Linked DNA regions of Caenorhabditis elegans. The protein of the gene in region 1 purifies or fractionates together with the protein of each later gene. This does not show direct contact. Each region holds a gene or a part of one and is shown on either strand. Other genes may lie near its edges.

The links.
Region 2: the proteins of Y51F10.7 (region 1) and gpa-10 fractionate together in Caenorhabditis elegans (co-fractionation; one large-scale study listed by BioGRID). This does not show direct contact.

The regions. Positions count from the first base shown.
Region 1 is NC_003279.8:1,911,067-1,915,722, forward strand, and holds Y51F10.7 (MD-2-related lipid-recognition domain-containing protein), read right to left. Parts: upstream 2,870-4,656; 5' UTR 2,841-2,869; coding exon 2,370-2,840; intron 879-2,369; coding exon 780-878; 3' UTR 618-779; downstream 1-617.
Region 2 is NC_003283.11:6,851,714-6,856,324, forward strand, and holds gpa-10 (Guanine nucleotide-binding protein alpha-10 subunit), read right to left. Parts: upstream 3,099-4,611; 5' UTR 3,091-3,098; coding exon 3,029-3,090; intron 2,983-3,028; coding exon 2,875-2,982; intron 2,692-2,874; coding exon 2,553-2,691; intron 2,500-2,552; coding exon 2,339-2,499; intron 1,935-2,338; coding exon 1,766-1,934; intron 1,716-1,765; coding exon 1,626-1,715; intron 1,577-1,625; coding exon 1,423-1,576; intron 1,381-1,422; coding exon 1,299-1,380; intron 1,117-1,298; coding exon 1,011-1,116; 3' UTR 808-1,010; downstream 1-807.

The DNA.
Region 1 (4,656 bases):
AATGCGGGAATTTTTCGCCCAAAAAATGTGACGTCAGCACCACGTTCTTAACCATGCACAATCAGTTGAGAACTCTGGCGCATTTTTTGTAGATCAACGTAGATCAAGACGAAATGTTGCACTCTCACGTGAATTACTTGTTTTTGTTTTTAAATCATCAAAGACACGTGGAATAAAAACTAGTTCTAAAATTCTAAAATTTTCCTTTAAAAAAACCGTTTTGGAAAAACTGAAAATTTCATAAATTGGTACTTTTCAGAATTACATAATTTCGTTTTTTTTTTTTTTTTTTTGGTTTTTTTGAAGTCAAAATCACAAAAAAATTGTCTTTTAAAAACTTCATTTCCGTTTAATTTTTTTTTAAGTGTGTGAAAAAACAAAAAAAATTGACTGTAAAGTTCATAAATTGGTACTTTTTTGTAGTCAAAAGCACGTAAAAATCGAAAAAACTAGTAATTCTGGATTTTTTTTTTCTAAAAAGTGAAACATCTGAAAAATGCGCTTACATTTTCAATATCAAAGTATACTATTTTAAATTTCCAGTCCAAATTTCGCCAATTCTTTCCGTAGTCTGTTATATTTGACGGCACAAATCAACTGATAACAGTGATAACTATACGATTGATTATATATTTATTTGCAAAAGTTATAGTTATGATGATGATGATTATTATATATATATATATCGGCGACACGTAGTTTCACACATGACATTTTGTTTCTTCTTCTTCTTCGATGTACACATACAATTCCCGAACGAACGGACGGAGCATTCATGCTTAAGACAACTCAACTTGAGCCATAACACACGCGATCTCCTCGTGCTTTGTGTCACCGGCGTTGTAGTTGAACATTCGGATTTCCAGCTCGTACGGCTTCTGCAATGAAGGATTTTAGGATTTATGGCCATCAATGGGTTTTTGCCTAGCTCTTTAGGGTTTTGAGACATGTACACTTGGTGTCAGAGTGTCTCATTTCGGCTTGATCTACGTTGATCTACAAAAAATGCGGCAGAGTTCTCAACTTATTTCGCATGGTTAAGAACGTGCTGACGTCACATTTTTTTGGGAAAAAAATTCCCGCATTTTCTGTAGATCAAACCGTGATGGGACAGCCTGGCACCACGTGGCCTGAGAAACCGAAGAGTCTAACATTTTTGCAATGTGAGGAAATTTGGAATCGCCGGAAAAAAATATTGAAGGATTCCACTCCAGATTGTAAGGTTTTGTACACAATTTGGTATATTTTCGGCCAAATTTCGTCAAATTCACACTCCAAAAGCAGTATTTCGAGAGGCCCCACCAAAACAGGATGCACGAAAACAGGATGCAGTGGGCGGAGCGAATTCGCAACCACCGCACGGTTATTTCGCAAGCCTCGCACGTTTTTTCTCTTGAAAAATGCAACAATATCAAGAAAAAACGTGTGAGGCTTGCGAAATAACCGTGCGGTGGTTGCGAATTCGCTCCGCCCACTGCATCCTGTTTTGGTGGGGCCTCTATTTCGACTGAGACTTGGATTGAATTGCCAAGAATCGGTCATATATCAAAGCTTGAAATGCTTTAAAGGTGGTGTAGTCGAATTTTTTTTATTGCTTTATTAGACTCAAAAATGTCTGAAAACACCGAATTTCATAATGAAACTCCTTGAAAACTTCAACTTCTCAAAAAAAAAAGTTATGACGGCTCAAAAAATGGCCTAAATTTGTTAAAATTTAAAATTTGACCGACTTGTCAAGCGGCTGGAAACTAACTTTTTTGAAATCACCGTCAAATTTTGAGTATAAAATTTAATTATCTTGCGTTTTCCACTCGATTTAGGTATTTTAAAGTCGATGGACGGCGAGATTTTTAAAATTTTTTTACCAAATCTCGCCGTCCATCAACTTTAAAATACCTAAATCAAGTTGAAAACGCAAGATAATTAAATTGTATACTCAAAATTTGACGGTGATTTCAAAAAAAAAATAGTTTCCAGCCGCTTGACAAGTCGGTCAAATTTCAAATTTTAACAAATTTTAGGCCATTTTTTTGAGCCGTCATAACTTTTTTTTGAGAAGTTGAAGTTTTCAAAAAGTTTTATTATGAAATTCGGTTTTTTCAGACATTTTTGGGTCTAATAAAGCAATTAAAAAAAATTGACTACACCACCTTTAAAGCATTTCAAGACTTGATATATGACCGATTCTTGGCAATTCAATCCAAGTCTCAGTCGAAATACTGCTTTTGGAGTATATATTTGGCGAAATTCGGAACCCTGAAAAAACTCATGTCCGCACTTTTACCGAATTCGATGTTAGTCCCGAAATTATACTTGACAAACGCCGAACTTTAAGTTTTCCAAAAATAATTCGTCGATTTTTCACTTACATTAGCAGCAATCAAGTCAATAATCGCCGAGAATTGGCTCAAATCCAACGGAAGAATCAAGAAGAGTGGTCCCGACGTGAGTGGGCAGTTGTGTGCAAATTCGCATCCATCGATTCCATTCAACAATCCGAATGTGGGAAGTGCGGTCCACGAGCAGCCGCCCTGCCATCCCGACTTGTACTGATTGATCTTCACGTTCACATGATTATCGTCGATCTGTGGTCCGTGATTGTAGGTGGTGAGGTTCAAAATGAACGGATGGCTCGGGTCGATTGGGTAGAGAGGGTTTCCTTTGCTATCCAACGTTTGGATGTCGGTGATTGAGAACTGCTCACCGTCGGAGCACATGTACGAGTGAATCTGCTTGTCAGTGCCATTTGGGAATGGGCAATCTGCCAAGTCGATTGGCATAGCGTTAATTTGGAAGCCGGCGGCCGTAATAGCAAGGAGTACAGCGATGTTTCTCATCATTTTGAAAATATAAAATATCAGTTAACTATAATTCCGGTAGTCGAAAAATCTAATTTATACACAAACCCCCCGATGTCACCCCATTTCCCCCGTTTGCCACGCCTCCCCTTGGCTTATCAGTATAACCATTCACATAGGTTAGTTATCTGTTGTGACGTGGGAATTGTTGGGAATCTGCAGCATGGTTTGGACGCGACGCCAACTGTTTTCTGGACACGAAAGTGGCGGCGGTGATAAGAGGAATAGTTAGTTAGTCATTTTTCGTGTCGACATTCGAAATTGTGATTGGGCTTTGCAAAAATAGATTTTTCGAAGAGAACATGGGTGGCCGATCAAGTTGAACGTTTGAAGTTAACCTGTCAATCAAGTTCGAGACAAATTTGCCGATAACACGTATTGTCAGGGGCTGTCCCGTTATGGTTTGATCTACCAAAAAATGCGGGGATTTTTCGCCCAAAAAAATGTGACGTCAGCACACGTTCTTAACAATACGAAATCAGTTGGGAACTCTGCCGCAATTCTCGTAGATCTACGTAGATCAAACCGAAATGGGACACCACGTGTTTCGAGCGAAAAGAAACCCAAAAAATGTCTGAAACTTCGGCCAAAGGAACAGTTCCCATGTTTTTTCAAGGAGTGCTGTTCCAGAATCAATAAGGCTCAGTTTTGAGCATGATGCTTTCAATTTTGGTGATTGATCGTAGTGCTTCCACTCAGCAAATACGGGGTTCTGGCCTTCCTCATTGAATTTTTCGCGCTCCATTGACAATCGCCTGCCGGACAACTCGTGGGAAAGTAGTGTACTCCACACGGACAAATACATTTAGTTTTACAATTAAAACCGAGCCGCGACGCGACACGCAACGCACCGTATAGCTACCTCATATATGGCCGATCCAAAATGGCCTAGGTCGGCAAAAACTCTTCCATTTCAATTTATGAGGAAAGCCAGACTTCCGTGAGCAGAACCCTTCTCAGATGTTCAGTAGTCGGAAATTTTTGGGTTACTGTAGTCCAGGGGTATGCGGCAAATTTGTCAAATTTGCCGAATTCGCCGCACACATCAAAAATTTGACAATACAGTTTTGACCAAAAGTATTGATTTTATCCCCAGAAAATTTCTGTAAAATGACACAAAATTGAGTTATTTTGATGTTTAAGCAGACACACCACTCGGAACTTATTCAGAAAAAAGACGTTTGTTCAGAATTCGATAGTCTTCGTGCTCCCCAATTTGCCCAATTTGTCGAATTTGCCGGACTTGCCGAGCTCGGCAAATTTTGAGATTTGCCGCACACCCCTGCTGTAGTCGTCGATCAAGAATATTGGAGTTGGATTTTTCAAAAGACGTGTTTGATGCGTTCATGCACAAAATTGTGCACAAACTTAGAGTTTTCAATTCACTATTGACGGATTTTGAAAGGAGTTGATGTCCAACCAATCAGAGCTGAGAAATGCGAAATCCAGAAAATTCCGCCTCCTCTTGAACGTTTCCACGTGGTGACCGGCTGTCCCACATACGGTTTGATCTACAAAAAATGCGGGAATTTTTCTCCCAGAAAAATGTGACGTCAGTGCACTCCTAACCATGCGAAATCAGTTGAAAAGTTTTCGTCTCTTCTCCCGCTTTTTTCGAAGATCAAATCAAGCTTGAGAAAATTCTGCCTCCTTCCTGTATATTCACGTGGAGCCAGAGTGCCCCCATTTCGGTTTGATCTACCTAGATCTAAAAAAATGCGGGAGTTGAGGTGCAGAGTTCTCAACTGATTTCGCATGGTAAAGAACGTGCTGACGTCACAATTTTTCTGTGAAAAAA
Region 2 (4,611 bases), on another chromosome or scaffold:
TGAAGTTTTCGAGCCATGAATTCATTTTTTTTCAAGCCAGTTTTTCAGGCAAAAACTCCAAAAACTCCACTCCATATTCAAGTTATAATTATTTTAATAATTTTCACACTGTTGTAATCAAAATATTAATCAGATATGTATTTCAGAGACGAAATTTTCAATGCAATTAAATCTTTACCAAATGTAACGCTTATTTGGAAATATGAAACAAATGATTTGCAATGAGCAGAAGAAATTGAAAATATTCATTTTTCAAAATGGATTCCTCAAACCGCATTACTAAATGATGACCGTTTAACAGCATTCATGACACATGGAGGTCTTGGTAGCACAACTGAACTTGCGTATCTTGGTAAACCAGCATTAATGGTACCAGTATTTGCCGATCAAAACAGAAATTCTTTGATGTTGGCAAGACATGGAGGAGTTCTTGTAGTCGAAACGATCTTTGGAAAAGGGAACTTGTGAAAAATTCCATTTATTCAATTTTGAACGACGATCATTTTAAGAAGAACTCTAAAAAACTGGCAGAAATGTTGAGAAACCAACCAACAAATCCCAAGGAGACCGTAGTCAAATACACTGAATTTGTTGCAAAATTTGGTCCGTTCCCGGAAATGGATCCATATGGGAGGACACTTGGATTCATTCAAAGAAATCTTTTAGATGTATACCTTGTTATTATCTTTCCGTATATTTTTGGAATTCTGTCCATTTATCTTGTCGCATGTTTTTGTTTGAGAAGATGTGAAAAGTCAGGTAAAAACGATTGAACATTTTTCTTCTAAAAGAGATTCGAATAAATATGTATGTTCCTTTAATCTTATTTGGTTCTCACTTTACACTGAAAATTAGTACAAATTTTCATCAGAGTTTCAGTCACGATAAATTTCAATCAATAAAAAATGACACCACTCAAATAGAATAGGGAATAATTATTACTAATCACACACGTTGTTTGAGGCAGATACTAAATTGAAGAACAATAATTTGTGCAGAGCGATTGGAGTTCATATCATTCCCGTATCTTTGAGATTATCTTGAATAACTGTATCTATCACTGTATTGATGATTATTTGAACTTGATCCGATATTGCACATGTTTCATGGGTGTACCTGTAAAATTACGTTTTTGAAATTTACATTTTATTTTCTAGTACTGTTAGTGTTCCATACTGGCACAAAAAAGTCAAAAATATCCAAGAAGTCGAATACGTTCAGAATTCTTTTAGTTTGTAAGTTCATAGTTAGATTTTCAAAAGTGCAGTAGACACAAAACTGTAGTCTCAAAAACTCACATTCTTTTTTTGAAGTCCGGGTGAATCCCTTCTCTAAATTGTCTCCGAAAGAACTTTGTACCTTCTGAAACTGTGTTTGCTCCTGAAACATGAAACTATGAATTCAAAAACTTGGAAAACAAACCTTCAAATTTTGGAAAGTAATCCTTAATCTTCACATGTTTTACTTTCTCCTCGAACAAATCAATTTTGTTCAGGAAAAGTATGACTGCCGCTTTTTTGAAAAACTTTCCATTAAAAACTGTCCAGAACAATCTGATGGATTCATGCATACGGTTCTAAAATTTAATTTTTCGTTTCAATTTTGTGGCTGTTTGGAAAAATTACCGTCTCTTCATCCTCCGCTAACTTCTGATCAAACTCGCTAATAGCCGCTACAAAAAGAACAGCGTCAGCCTCATCGAAAAAGTGATACCACTGAAATTAAATTCTCAATTAGGAAACAAAGAAATAGTTAAATTTCCAACTTTTCGTCTTTCAGATCGTTGTCCACCACAATCGCAAATCATCAATTTGATATTGTTCATAATAACTTCGACTTGTGCAACTCCCGTTGTAGGTACCCGTATGTGAACAATATCCTGATTTGTCGGTTCAAAGCCTGGCAATTTTATACGGTCGATGTTGTCGAAGAAACTGAAAATGAATTATTAAGTTCAAATAACACAATTTTGAGATAATTTAATGTAGTTATTCAATTGATTTTTTATTGCAAAATTTGCCTGCTAGAACAAGAACATAAACAAGTTAACATCATAGACTTCAGCGATCACTATCACAATTTTTTTTTTCTAGACCTGTTAATTACATGTTCCGTTAGACCAAATGACAGATACACGAACAATGTCTGTAGTTTGGTTTTATTTGTGAACGAACAAACATATACATAACTCGAAACATTTAAATAATAACTGTGTGACATAAAAGAATATTTTAAGAAACATTTCAGACATTTTTGAAACGTGTTTTTGAATCAATTGAAACATTTTTCTATAATTCTAACTATGAATGCGCTACAAGTTTCCAAAAAAAAAACTCACTACTTGGCACTATCTGTCAAATGAAATGTGTCTCTCTTGGAATACGCGTCCTGTATTGCACTGTTTCCCCAGAATTCCTTCAGTGTATCGGCGAGTTCAGGTCTCATTATTCCATCATGAATTACCGCCATTTTCAGTTCTTCGCACATCACAGTATATCGCTAAAAGTTTTTAATTTGAAACCTAATAAAACCCGAGAGGTCGCAAAACTCACTTTATCATCGTCTTCCGTCATCTCCAAAATATATTCTCTGACGTATTCTAACAACATCTCAGAAAATTGACATAAATTCTGTATAATTAGCACTTTTCGTTCGTGTAGTTCTGTCTTTGTGTAGTTTCCAGTCATGGCTCTGAAAATAGAATGTTTGGCTACCCATATAACAGGAAATATAATAGTTATTAATTAATTTTCAAACTGTAAACAGAAAGAAACAGACACAACTCCCAAGGTATAATCAGAAACCTATTTATTTTCCCGTTGTTAATTCAAAATATTAGGTCATGTACAAGAATTATTAAAAAATCAAATATACCTCATCTGTTTCATGACAGTACTTTTTCCACTTTCACCAGGCCCCAGTAGAAGAACGGTTTGCTCCAATTGCATGTTTTTCTTCTTTTCGAGCTGTTTTTCTATTTCTCTGAAATATTAACGACAATTATGAAACATGTAACTCAAAAACTGACTTGTTAACTTTGATCTGATCCTTCATCTCGTCAGTGAGTACAAATGACTGACAGACCCCCATGTTTCCCTGAACATATATTGAAATTTTTGAAAGAACAAAAATAATTCAAAGATTATGACGATTATGATAGAGAACGCAAACTTTAATTATAGGATGCCAGCGAGATTCAACTTAGACAACGAGACAAATGAAATGACTAATCAGAAAAAAAAAAACAAAACATGTTGTCATGCCAAAAAAAAAGTTTCAGAAAGCTTGTCGAGACAAACTGAACAGACTTTTCGGCAACGAAAATGTAGATTTCACACCGGAAATAAAGTCAATTTCCACTGTATTGCTCAGAGAGAATGTACAAGTTTCGTCAAAAAAAGTTACTATTTTCATGAGAATTTTCAAATCCATCAATGCAAGAGAACATTCCTTCAAAAAAAATTATTTGAAACCCGTATTTCAAAGCCGCGCGACAAACTGAATATGTACCAAAAAAAAAAAATAAATAGATACGTAACTCGGGATGAAACCAAACTCGTTGACTAATTTTCAAAAGTCATCAACACTAGAAACGACAATATAATTTCGAAAGAACTTGTTAGACTTAAAGAGAGATAGGTAAATCCTAAATTTCAAGACCTTGTGTGACGCCATAATTTTCCATGAAAAAGCAACATGGTAGCACGTGAAGAACATAGTTACTTTAGATTTGTAGATTTGTACTTTAGATTGGGATGTTTTTTTCTTTAACACAAATTGTTTTTTGTCTCAATGTTAAAGATGAACCAGTTTTTCAAGAACGTTCAAAATGACATTTGGAAACTTTCTCTAAAACCACAGATTTTGGTTCACCGAAAAACATCTGAACACTTTTTCACTACCCGTCAAAGTCAAGAAATATTTAAATGAAATGGCGATAAATTACATTTTTGTTTGAAACCAGTTGTAATCGTTATGTTCGCAAAATTTTTCCGAAAAGCGCATGAGCTCAACACAAATTTAAAATCACATAGGCTTAAAAGTCGTGACAACACAAAAATGTAAAAAAAAAGTTGTGGAGAACACGAGAGAAGAAAAGGGAAAAAAGCAAAGTTATGATTAAATGAAATGAGAAGGAAGGTAGTGATGATTAGCGGCGGTCCTCTCCCCCCGGTTTCCTTGACTACCGCAGATTCCCAATTAAGCCTCTCTGTAACAAAGAAACTAAAAGGTGAATAACAAAACAAAAACACGAGAACAACTTCTGACTTGCATGTTGAATGAAATACACTCAAAAATCGCGAGACTACTTGAGCGTGGGAATGATCAAAAAGAAGGAAAAAAGATAATGTGATTGTTGGTTGTGTATTTGGGTTAGAGGGAGATATATTTATATTATCAATCAAAAAAAAACAGAATACCCGATGCTCTATAGGGAAACATTTATGTTGCTATGGTTTTATGATAGCTGGTCAGAAAAATAGATAGATTAGAAAAGCGTTTTGAAAAAGAGAGAACTACGCCAATTGAGTAAAGTTTTTTAAACGACACGCAAACGGAAATCGTTAGCTTTGTTGTGAGTTAAACCGGAAACAAGTTTATCTGGTCTTG